3 linked regions of the Arabidopsis thaliana genome follow. The protein of the gene in region 3 interacts with the protein of the main gene of each other region in a pairwise test. Each region holds a gene or a part of one and is shown on either strand. Other genes may lie near its edges.

Evidence for each region.
Region 1: the proteins of SCL5 (region 3) and AT2G20350 interact in binary tests that used the Arabidopsis thaliana proteins (3 or more experiments, as listed by UniProt).
Region 2: the proteins of SCL5 (region 3) and AT5G67000 interact in binary tests that used the Arabidopsis thaliana proteins (3 or more experiments, as listed by UniProt).

What each region holds. Positions count from the first base shown.
Region 1 is NC_003071.7:8,782,425-8,785,947, forward strand, and holds AT2G20350 (Integrase-type DNA-binding superfamily protein), read left to right. Parts: upstream 1-2,344; coding exon 2,345-2,630; intron 2,631-2,781; coding exon 2,782-2,972; 3' UTR 2,973-3,023; downstream 3,024-3,523. Other genes in the region: AAS (Pyridoxal phosphate (PLP)-dependent transferases superfamily protein), read left to right, coding at 1-66.
Region 2 is NC_003076.8:26,746,177-26,749,743, reverse strand, and holds AT5G67000 (Integrase-type DNA-binding superfamily protein), read left to right. Parts: upstream 1-2,462; 5' UTR 2,463-2,512; coding exon 2,513-3,067; downstream 3,068-3,567. Other genes in the region: AT5G67010 (Integrase-type DNA-binding superfamily protein), read left to right, coding at 128-422, 493-686.
Region 3 is NC_003070.9:18,735,736-18,741,963, reverse strand, and holds SCL5 (scarecrow-like 5), read left to right. Parts: upstream 1-2,314; 5' UTR 2,315-2,404; coding exon 2,405-2,618; intron 2,619-2,628; exon of another isoform or gene 2,629-2,790; intron 2,791-2,974; coding exon 2,975-4,566; 3' UTR 4,567-4,901; downstream 4,902-6,228. UniProt on the Arabidopsis thaliana protein: Probable transcription factor involved in plant development.

The DNA of each region.
Region 1 (3,523 bases), on a different chromosome or scaffold from region 3:
GAGAAGCACGTTAAGGAGGCGTGGAAGATTATTCAGGAAGAAGCATCTTACTTGCTTCACAAGTAAATATGATAAAACAGTAAAAGAATAAAACGGTTTTTGCCAACAAAACGAAGCACTTCGGTTTGGTTTGGTTTAATTTGATAATATAATAATAAAACAGAAAATTGCTTAAGTAAGACTTATCAACTTCGGTTTGATTTCGGTACACTTTAGTAAGGTGATCTTTCTTGTGTGTATTTTATCCTCTATTTTTTTTTTTTACCAATTGTGTGTATTTTATCTATTTGGTTTGGGTTTATTTTGTGGTTAATTAATGTAAGCAATGATAATAAAATGTTCTATTTTATTGTTAGACGTATTTTATACCATGCGATAAAATAAAAGACAAATCAACTTATAAGTTACACTTTTTTTTTTTTGGTAAGGGATTTAAAGTTACACTATTAATCGCATGTTTCATTTTTTTAGGGTGAATGTAGCCGTCAAATTACTTATTCACCACGTTTTCTAGTGGGGTTCGACGGATTAACTGGAATAATTTAGTAAATTTTACGTTTGAAATGATTCGATCCATATATTAAACCTACAAAAAATTTCTCCTCAGTGAAAACCACTACCGCTTGGTTGCTTTTTTAAAAAAAAAAATCTTGTATAAACAATTTCATAGGTAAAATTGAAGCGATCGATACAGAAATCGCTAAGAACAAAGCATGAATATTTTGTCATCTATAAATGACTTGCTCAAGAAGACCAATACCATACAGAGCTTTTATTTGAGACATAAAGAAAGTTTATGATATATAGAAACGAAAAGGAGATGATGGTATGCAACAACCACTATATATACAAAGAACCTCATCAATAGTAATTTGTAGGGTTTCTTGTTTTTTGTCGTATCCTCGTATCCGAGTCCAATCTGTGTATTCCGCTTCGAAAACTCTTTTTGTGTTGGTTTCTTATTTAGTCAATGATATAGTATTCTAGAAAGTCAAGATCACACATGTGAAGTCAAGAGCAAAAAGGAATGCACGTGTGTGTTTTGAGCTGGCAACTTGACATTGACGGTGATCATTATTAACGTTTACTTTCTTTACCTTTTAGTATAAAAAGCAACATGTTATGTTCATGCTTTCTTATGCGAATAATCTGGTTGTATTTTATTTCTAGAGACTTCTAGATTTCCCTCATCGTTTTACCGAAGCTCTTTCGTCGAGACTCTTGTAGGTGAGAAGTTGATATCGCGTTTTATGAACGTTATATCAAATTATCGTAATAGGAATACTCTGTTTCGGTTCTCTGCATTTTTACTTTGTTTTACTCATTATTCTGTTTACGTTATCATCAGTGAAACATGAAATTGAAAGCAATTAACTGTCTCATTTTAGTTAACTAAATTTGTCTTGAACTGTATATAATTAAATCAAAGAAAAAAAATACAAAATATGAAAGTGATGACCGGGGATATTCAAAGGGAGACTCTCATAACAACTTGGTATATGAATAAAGACTTAAAGCACTGGAATATGAGTACCTTGTTTCCTTAATTATTGACTCACTGTTTGTACAGAAACCAAAACCAGCACTGCAAATGAAATATATCTTAACAGAACAGAAATAACCCCCAAAAATATTTCAAAAAGCTCGAAAACATATGGTTCCATTTTGTATAGCGTTGCACAATGTAATGCTAAATCAAAAGAGTAGATTAGATATATAAGATAGAAAAAAAAAAGAGCAAAAAGGATAGAACAAAGTATTATAGATAGAATGTCATTGGGCAAAATTAATCCAAGGACTGATACATACAAGTATACAACCATCGTATTAACCTATGAAAAAGTATTGCAAAATATAAAATGATTTTTAAAACAATGAAATTACACCTATCCAATTGTTACGAATGAAACTCAACTTTTAAACACTAAAAAAATGTGTATATTTGCAGTCCAGATTACAAAATAAACCATTATATAATAGGATCCAACTGTATTTTGACTTAAATAAGGTAGTTGAAAATATCTTGACTAAGAAGTATATTTGGTTTACTCGGTGTCAAGACTAATAATAATTAGTAAGTAGTGTATCGAATAAATATAGCAATCGCTTTTGCAGAAAATAAATATCTACTGAACAGATGTATCGTTCTCAAAGGAAAAAAACAACACTAATTGGTGCCGCGTATCTAAAGATTTGCATGGGACCATATGTCTAGTAGTCTAGTACCATATAAACCTTTTTTTGCTTACTCGTCAGTAGTTTCTTTTGAAATCTTCACAACACTTTCAACACTTCTCAGTGACCGTGAGCAACGAATTATTTTCAGTTCAACGACTCCGCGGAAATGGAAAATTCAGAAAATGTTCCCTCTTACGATCAAAACATCAATTTCACTCCTAATTTGACGAGAGATCAAGAACATGTGATCATGGTCTCTGCTTTGCAACAAGTAATATCCAACGTCGGAGGTGACACGAACTCGAATGCATGGGAAGCTGATCTTCCACCTTTGAACGCTGGCCCTTGTCCTCTTTGTAGTGTCACCGGCTGCTACGGTTGCGTCTTCCCACGACACGAGGCGATAATTAAGAAGGAGAAGAAGCACAAAGGAGTGAGGAAAAAACCATCAGGTAAGTTCTATTCTAATACAAGCTTTGAGTTTTTCTAGTACTAGCTAGTTTTAGTTCATGTATTTTCATATATATATAAGCCACGAGCCCATGAGGTAAACTATGTTCCAATACGTTAGCATGCAGTTGATGTACTTTCATAAACCATCAGGTAAATGGGCGGCGGAGATATGGGATCCGAGTTTGAAAGTAAGGAGATGGCTTGGAACGTTTCCAACAGCGGAGATGGCGGCTAAGGCTTACAACGATGCGGCGGCTGAGTTTGTCGGAAGAAGATCAGCAAGACGTGGCACAAAGAACGGAGAGGAAGCATCTACCAAGAAGACGACTGAGAAAAATTAACGGAGAAGGAGCACGTATAGAAAGGCAGGAAGAGGCATCTTACTTGCTTCACAAGTAAATCAGAATTTTTTTGAAAAGTAAAAACGTTATTTTGTTTGGTAATAAAATAAAGTAAAACAAAATATTGCTAACGCAAGACTTATCAAGTTCAGTCGTGACTGTGAGTGTGTTTTTATGTATCTTACTTCATTTTTTGTCTTTCAATTGTGTGTGTGTGTGTGTTTTTTTTTTTTTTTATAATCTATTTGGTTTGGGTTTATTGTGACCAATGACAAGAAAAGTCTATATTTTATAGTTAGACGTATTATATATATCATGAGATAATATACAAGCAAACACAATTGTAAGCATATATAAAAATCAATCAAGTTGTTATGATATTTATGATAACTTTAAACTTTGATTAACAAGAAAGGTAATCCAATAGTAATATTTGTCATACGGTGCCGTTTCACTAATAAATGGGCTTACGTAATACGGACCAACACAAAGTGACGTGGTTTCATTTTAAAGGTGTTACTTATCGTCGCCAATGAGATATTGTCAAGGCC
Region 2 (3,567 bases), on a different chromosome or scaffold from region 3:
TTAGATATTGGCTGCCAGGTAGGCTTCACCTTCCTACTATATAGATTGTTTTCAAATCTTCATGACAACACTTTTGATCCTTCGCATTCACTAAATAAGTACATATTATCAGTTTGACACCAAAAAAATGGATTATTCAGAAAATGTTCAAAACAAAAATTTCACCCCTATTTCACAACCTCCTAACTTGACAAGAGACCAAGAACATGCTATCATGGTTTCTACTTTGCGACAAGTGATATCCAACACTGGAGGTGATACGTCATCATCTCACTACATTGCTGCAAGTGAGGCTCTTCCACCTTCGGACGCTGGCCCTTGTCCTCTTTGCGGCGTCACCAGTTGCTACGGGTGCGCATTCCCACAGCATGAAGAGATTAAGCAGGAGAAGAAGCATAAAGGAGTGAGGAAGAAGCCATCAGGTAAGTAAATTTTGTTCCAACATCTTTGAGTTTGTTCCATCGGTTTATAACTTTACTAAGTTATTATCAGGAAAATGGTCGGCGGAAATATGGGATCCGAGTACAAGAACAAGGAGGTGGCTTGGAACGTTTCCGACGGCAGAGATGGCAGCGGATGCTTACGATGAGGCAGCGGCTGCGCTTGTCGAAAAAAGATCAGCGAGACGTGGCTCAAAGAAGGGAGAAGGAAGCATTCACCAAGAAGTCGGCGGCGGAGATGACTGAGAAATTAAGCTATATAACTATATATCGTTTTATAGGGGGAAAAATAGATGTTTTGGGAGAAATTAATACATTACCTAGATGGGTTATATGTTTTACGAGAAACCACTTGCGTGTGTTTTTTTTTTAATAAGAGGTTTTCAAATTAAAGTTTTGATGGAAAAAAAGTTAGATAGAGCCCAAAAAGTTTTGAGTAAAAGACCTCTATTTTATTGGAGAGTCTTCTCCTCTGTAGTGGCCTTTAACATTTGCATTGTGGTGTGCTTTATCATTGTTTTTGCTTGTTTTGTGTTGATGATTACCTCTGTTTGTGGAAGAGTATTCTCGTTCTGTTTCTTAATGGCACTTTATTGAGGCAGATACTCAACCAGAAGGTAGAAACTCTGATGATGGAGTCGATCACTAATTTTCTGGATTTAGTCCGAGGATCTAAACTAGTTGCATGTATAGTCTGTGATTATATTCTATCCAAATCACATAGAGAGAAACCTTCTAAGCTATAAGAGTTTCTTCTCTGAGTTTTGGAACCATTTGCAGAAGATGATCCTTATACGGCTTACTACTAAAACGTTTTTGTATTTACGGTTTCTCAAATGTAAAATACTTGTATTTCAATATAAAAACTAGATATACTCGTGCATACATACAAAACTAAGTGATAATTGGAATTCTGGTCTATCCCATTTTTTTGGTTAATTTTTAGTACAGAACAAATATGTACTTTGACTAACTTCTAAAACGACAATATTCCAAACTGAAAAAATTTCTACAGAATGGAGTTATTATCAAATAAATATAAAAATACAAGTTAAGCCTGTTAAGAAACATTCATATATGTAAATTTATCAATTTGAAAAAATAATATATATATATATATATATATATATATCAATTTGGTAGGGAAGTTAAACTTGAGTACTATATGCATTAGTGCACAGCAATGAGAAGTCAGCGTTTATTTTAGTCTACTTGATTCTCTCTATTGAATAATCGGCTCGAAACTATATGATTGATCAAATTCAGTAGGATTTTAGCTCATGAAGCAACTTCTCGGCCGCGTGTATTACATAATGCATGAGAAAGTCTCGTTGAGACCCACATGTATATTCGAAACGTGCTCCTTTAAGAGAATGACGCGGCGTGTATTACATACTGTATGAAACTGACAGAATAATTAAGTGATTGAGAACGAATGAAAAATAAAAGATTGAAATAAGTGTAATGCAAAATTGCAAATATAATCTTATAAAAAACTTTGATATTTATTTACAAAACATTAATATAACATTTGTTTTTAACGTCTTTTTAAAAAATCCCATATAGTATATATTTTTATATATTATACATATTATTTCTTTATTTAATAACAACACAGTATTTAACTTTTAAATATCATAGAATTCAAAATTTGATAAATACGTGCGGCTTTTAATTTCTTGATTCGAACATGTCAAAACAATTAGTGAATTTGATTAAAGAGTTATACTATTACGTTATCTTATCAAATTCAAACTCGCATTATAGTCTGCAATTCACTCAAAATATTTTTAAATCAACTAATATAAAAAGTGTTTTCCACTATTTTTTTTTTTTTTTTAAACATGATCGAGCGAAACATTTTGACCTTTTTTCTTTTTTTTTTCTTGGGTCAAACGAGTATGATCGTCTTTTTGTAAATTTTTTTCCGCATACATACAAAGGTAGCCTTTCCGTTTTTATAATCACATTCATGTGACTAATAATTTAGACGAATGGTAGCAAAATGTCAGGCCACATAAACGCTAAAAAAAGCATCACAGTTATGTTTCCATTCATTGGCTATAAAAACCATGCTCACTCCCTTTTGTTCTTCACACCATTTGCAGGAAAAAATGAATAGTTGTCAGTCTAATCCCACCAAAATGGATAATTCAGAAAATGTTCTATTTAATGATCAAAACGAAAATTTCACACTTGTTGCACCACACCCTTCTTCTTCGTACTTGACAAGAGATCAAGAGCACGAGATCATGGTCTCTGCTCTGCGACAAGTGATATCTAACTCCGGAGCTGACGACGCGTCATCATCAAACTTGATCATCACAAGCGTTCCGCCTCCAGACGCTGGCCCTTGTCCTCTCTGTGGCGTCGCCGGTTGCTACGGCTGCACATTACAACGGCCGCACCGAGAGGTAAAGAAGGAGAAGAAATACAAAGGAGTAAGGAAAAAACCATCGGGTAAATGGGCGGCGGAGATATGGGATCCGAGATCGAAATCAAGGAGGTGGCTTGGAACGTTTCTTACGGCGGAGATGGCGGCACAATCTTACAATGATGCGGCGGCTGAGTATCGAGCAAGACGTGGTAAAACAAACGGAGAAGGAATTAAACGGCGGTGGAGATGACTGAGAAGGACATGGTCGGTGATCATACACGGCGAGGTGGAAATGTTATATTTACTATTGAAAACTAAATTATTTATTATAGAGGGAGATATTACTCTTTACGCTTTCATTAAGATTTATTTTTATAAGTTTTAAAGTATTTTATTGTTATATGAAGATAAAATATATTATTTATTTATATTTTATTTTATAATAAGATATTATTTTTTATTTTTTTTTATTATTTTATTTTTATTCTCTGTGCTATATATACTCTGAAAGTCTGAATATATAATCCATTTTGGTGTGGGAGTATTAGACTATTAATTATGGTCAATTAAATGAAGTTCAAAAATATGAATGGAAGATATATGAATAAATTGAATTAATAGATGTTTATAATTATTGAGACTGCTTTAGCGTAGAAAATGCTGCATACATTATTGTTGGGAAAATAAAAATGAGTATTAATATTTAACATAAATATTAAATGTCTTTAATATGTGTGAGAGAATTATTAA
Region 3 (6,228 bases):
TAGGTGAGAGAGTTCTTTGGATAACCATTCAATTATCTTGTTTTAACTTTTTAAGTTATATATACATGTAATCGTTGTTGTACTGATTTGTCATTTGCTTTAGTTCCAACCAAATTTATTTTTCTCTCTATATGAGAATTATTTTGGTATAACTGATTTTAAGAATCAGGCATAACTGGTGGATTGTTCTATATGATGATGATAATATCTGAACCAATTAAACAAGTAATGTGATATAACTCGGTAGAGTTTTAGAGATTTCTGTTTTATCACCAGTTACCCGTTAAAAACAAACAAACAACATGTTTTATAAATTAATCGACAAATATGGTCAGTCAAACTAGGAGTAAAACTTAGTAGTCTCTTAATTTTCTTTTCAAAATTCTAGTAATGAAATTATAAAGGATGACTTTGTTATTCCTAAATTATGTGACTGCGCACGATTAAGAGTTGTTATTTTCGGACAGTGTTACTCGAGGAAAGACATAAAAAAGACAAAAGACATAAACAATGATAAAATTAAACTTTATGGGGAGAAAATCAAATGTAAAAAAATGAAGAAAAAGAAAATGGAAGGTCAAAAAGTTGAATGCTGAAATTGTTCTTCTGAAAGAACGCGGAATTGGGTTAAAGAGCTTTAAAGTGTTGGTGGGCCGACACGATTGGTCGGCATGAAATCTTAAGGTGTGAACCTTTCAAGTACACATTTCTGCTGCTTATGCAGTGTCCATACTCCAATTTCGGTTCGTACTGGAAAACATACTAAAGTGGATGTATATTTGATAACAGTTTTTGTTTTTGTTTTTGAATACTAGTATTATATAAAAGAGATTTTTCCTAGTCTACTAATGTTTCAATCCAATCCATTGTAGTTATCAAACTAGTTATTTATGGGTATTCAAAGCTGATAATATGGTACTGCGGGGTAGTAGTATAATACTAAATAATTACTTACGAAATTAATAATGAAATGAGTAATTATAGAATGAATGCATATAATTAAGTGTTTTTTTTTCACAAAAGAAAGACGCCTGAATTTAATAATAAAGTGTATTAAATATTAATTCACATTTGTCGTAAATACGTGGATTGTAAAAGTGTATCAATCGTATGTATGTACCACTGGTTAAACAAATGTATGATGCATCAATAGTCAAACTAAAAAACTCGCTGATCTTTGAACACGAAGTTGAAAAAAAAGTCGAAAAAATCTCACTGATGTATGTAAAAAGAAAATATGTTGGTAAATAAAAGAAAAAATGGGAGGATAAAAAGGCAGGGAATAATCACAAACTTTTAGGCCTAAAAATGATAAGTGTTGGACCAACCCATGGCTTGCACGTTTGGTCTCATCTCGTTACTTTTGTTTTCGATCTCATCGATGTCTGCGTCTGTGCGGACCATTTTACCCTTGCCTTTTATTACTTCACTAAAAGATGAACACACGAATTATTTAGACATGCGGCACACAATTTTATTACGGTTAAGTTTACAGTTTTAAGGCGAAAATATATCGTTATGCTTTATGCTACATTAATTATGTATAGTAGTACTCCCTACCCAAAACAAAGTTACGTATAGTACTTTGATTGGCCATCGAGGACTCAAGGTTTACTAAATAGAAAGTAAAACAAAGAGATGTTTATTGCATTCGTCGTCCACACATAGAATAATCAATCATCATCATGATTTGTTTTACATTCTTAAGTTCTCGTAATTATTCGTTTCGTACGTTTTTTTAATTTTATTCCAAAGAATTTAACATTAATATTTTGAAGAACCATGTGCTACTAGCCTACTATTATACTCAATTGACAACAACCCATTTTATTTTGCTTTTGCTCGTGTTTCATTCATTTCGAACGATTGGATTTACATAAAATAGTCTATACACAAAGACAAAACAAAATCGCTTTTTTTTTTTTTTTTTTTTTCATTTTGTATACTATTATTGTGGAAAACGCAACATTTATATATCATACTATTGATCTTGCATGGTTCCATGAATTTTCTAGGTAAAAAAAGTGTGTTAATAGAACAAACAAAACTGTTAAAACATGTTGAATTACTTAATGCAATTTGACTCTGGTAAAACATGGTCAGCCACGACATTTCAACTACTCTCATTAACTCCCAAATGTTTCATCATTTAATATATGAAAATCATTATATAATACTCGTATGATTCAATTACTCAGATAATAGTGATGTAATGCATGACACTTGTTTTTGGAATTTTATTTTATTTCCAGTTATATATTACAGTTGTTTACTCGTCAGACTAATATTGACTGTTATTAGAAATAAAGGTACTTAATTCTTATTCTTTACGCGCTACAAAATAAGCAACAATGGCAAAACCGTAAAAATGAGTAGTCAAAGGGGTATTTGGTTTTAGAAAGAGATGAGGATAAAAATGAGGTTAAGCGTTTTTATTATTCCCCTGGTGGAAAGTAGGCAAGCAAGTGGTATCATCAACAAACAAAGCACTTCTCTTTTGATTCGATTCTCTCTTTACCTTGAAGCTTCAATATCAACCAAATCTTTTTTCTCAAAATCTCAAAGAATCTCTCAAACTCAGTCTCCTATCTGTCTCTCTGCAAACTATTACCAACCAGGTTAGATTCTTGATCTCAAAGTTTCCATCTTTTTATTTTATGTCGGTTGCTTTCGCTGAGTTCTGGTTTCTTTGATTTTCTTAGTTACAGAACACAACTTACTTTGTTTTTTGGTTTGGGCTGTGTTGAAAATTGAGCTTAGGGTTTTATGTAACAGTTGTCTTAGCTCATAGTTACGGTTAAAAAGCTCTCAACTTTGTCTCCCTAATGATAATTGAATTCAATCTTGTTTATGATTTTTCTCTATTGGGTCGATCTTTAACTGAATCTATCTACATAAAGATCCAACCGTTTTAAGAATCTTAGGGTTCTTATCATCTTGTTCAAAACTAAGATTCTGTTTTTTGGTGTGGCAGATAATTTAGATATGGAAGCTACTCAGAAACATATGATTCAAGAAGGATCTTCAATGTTTTACCATCAACCATCTTCAGTCAAACAAATGGACCTTTCTGTTCAGACATTTGATTCTTACTGCACACTTGAATCCTCTTCAGGCACCAAGTCTCATCCTTGTCTTAACAACAAAAACAACTCTTCTTCAACCACAAGCTTTTCCTCTAATGAAAGTCCCATTTCTCAAGCCAACAACAACAACTTATCAAGGTTTAACAATCATTCCCCTGAAGAAAACAATAACTCTCCCTTGAGCGGTTCTTCAGCGACAAACACCAACGAGACAGAGCTTAGTCTCATGCTTAAAGATTTGGAGACTGCAATGATGGAGCCTGATGTAGACAACAGCTATAACAATCAAGGCGGGTTTGGACAGCAGCATGGAGTTGTTTCTTCAGCTATGTATAGATCTATGGAGATGATCTCTAGGGGAGATTTAAAAGGAGTGCTCTATGAATGCGCAAAAGCTGTTGAAAACTATGATTTGGAAATGACTGATTGGTTGATCTCTCAGTTACAGCAAATGGTTTCTGTTTCTGGTGAGCCTGTTCAGCGCTTAGGAGCTTATATGCTTGAAGGTCTCGTTGCTAGGTTAGCTTCTTCGGGTAGCTCCATCTATAAAGCATTGAGATGCAAAGACCCAACGGGTCCTGAGCTTCTTACTTATATGCATATCTTGTATGAAGCCTGCCCTTATTTCAAATTCGGTTATGAATCTGCTAATGGAGCTATAGCTGAAGCTGTGAAGAACGAAAGTTTTGTGCACATTATCGATTTCCAGATTTCTCAAGGTGGTCAATGGGTGAGTTTGATCCGTGCTCTTGGTGCTAGACCTGGTGGACCTCCGAACGTTAGGATAACGGGAATTGATGATCCGAGATCATCGTTTGCTCGTCAAGGAGGACTTGAGTTAGTTGGACAAAGACTTGGGAAGCTAGCTGAAATGTGCGGTGTTCCGTTTGAGTTCCATGGAGCTGCTTTATGCTGCACGGAAGTCGAAATCGAGAAGCTAGGAGTTAGAAATGGAGAAGCGCTCGCGGTTAACTTCCCGCTTGTTCTTCACCACATGCCTGATGAGAGTGTAACTGTGGAGAATCACAGAGATAGATTGTTGAGATTGGTCAAACACTTGTCACCAAACGTTGTGACTCTGGTTGAGCAAGAAGCGAATACAAACACTGCGCCGTTTCTTCCCCGGTTTGTCGAGACAATGAACCATTACTTGGCAGTTTTCGAATCAATAGATGTGAAACTCGCTAGAGATCACAAGGAAAGGATCAATGTTGAGCAGCATTGTTTGGCTAGAGAGGTTGTGAATCTTATAGCTTGTGAAGGTGTTGAAAGAGAAGAGAGGCACGAGCCACTAGGGAAATGGAGGTCTCGGTTTCACATGGCGGGATTTAAACCGTATCCTTTGAGCTCGTATGTGAACGCAACAATCAAAGGATTGCTTGAGAGTTATTCAGAGAAGTATACACTTGAAGAAAGAGATGGAGCATTGTATTTAGGATGGAAGAATCAACCTCTTATCACTTCTTGTGCTTGGAGGTAACTAATAAAAACCTTGTTCGGTTTCAGAAGAGATTAGAAACTTCTTTTAAAGTTTGCAGAATCTGTTTGTAAAAGTAAAACTCATGCATGATCCGAAGGAACAAGTTGTCAAATGTTGTAGTAGTAAGTGATATGTTGATGACCCCATATATGTTTAAGGTTTATGTTTTTTTTTTTCTTTTCTCACAACAAACTATGATTTGACATCAAACTTATAACTCTCTGTTTATGATGTGATAAATTAATGATATATGGTTTTTTCTTGTCGTTTGTATTACGCACAAGGTTAGGAAAATTTGCAGATTTTTTTGAAGCAATATCATTAAGTTAATGTAGCACCAGACATCTAATTGACTAATCGAATGTCCTAAACAGTCAAACGTTTAACCAATTTTAAGGTGTTTAGAATAGTACTCAATTTTTCATTATAATGTATTGTTTTTTTTAATAATTTTTTAATTTTGTTTCATTATATTAAATGTTTTACAAGTTTGGATGCAAATATAAAATGTATTTGATATTTTGCAGCCACTTTTGTAATTGGTTGATTTTTTAAAAGTTAAATAATCGAACGTTAATGTACGTTTAAATGATGAACATACGAATAAATCAAAGTTATAACCAATTAGTTGTTTGATTAAACAATACTTGTAACAAAAACATACATGATCCCATTTGTAACCATCGTTTTAATGTTTTAGTTAAGAGATAATAAGAGAGAACCGGAATTCTTTTTTTGAAAATGTAGTTTGAAAAAGTGGTTAGAGATAATAAGAGAGAACTGGAATTGTTTTTTTGTACTTTGGTTAAAACTATGGTACGTTTGGAAATGAAACAAAGATAATCTTGAATTATTATACATTTGAATTATTGCGCCTTCTATGATCCGAAAGATAGCTGTTCAAACCACAGTTTTACCACATTTGGAAGCAGCGAAATAATGTTCCTCACAACAACACTATCTTGCCTCGACAAAGGAAGCATTTTGGAAACTTAATGCAACCTTGGATTAGATGATTTCACTTTTGTGTCTTTACATTTATTTGTTACCTTGTTTTTAATTTTGGCAAGGTCTCAAAAACTTTAGGTTTTATTTTGTGTAATTCCTAAACTTTTCATTTATAATGATATTTACAGTTATATCAAAAATATTCATTCTTATTTTCCCTTTAACTACATAATAACCAGAGAGCAGCTTTGGATATATAATGTCGGAAGGCATGCTCTTATGCTACTCCATTTCACATTAAGTCTATGCTTCGAAATTTATAGGAACGAAATGTTCCAATCTTTCATTGTCTTCCTCTATTATTTAAACCCAAAACCTCAAGCAATAAAAGCAGATTGTTTTCTTTGACTATACAAAATAATAAAATTTAAATCCTACAAAAAAAGAAGAAAATAAAAAGCTAAAAAGAACTAATGTTTCACATAGTTTGTAATATATTATTTCGACTATTTACGTTCAATCGTCTGTTTCAATTCATTCGTTCGATTGGTAACTAATGATACGGTTCAACTCACAAGCATATCAAACTAGATACCAAACAAACCTGAGTTCAGTTTTGCTACAACTATGAACATATAGACGAGTGTGTAATCAATCGGTCAAACACCACTCTCCATTTTTGTAAAAGGACAACAAGCCCTATAAGAAAAGATG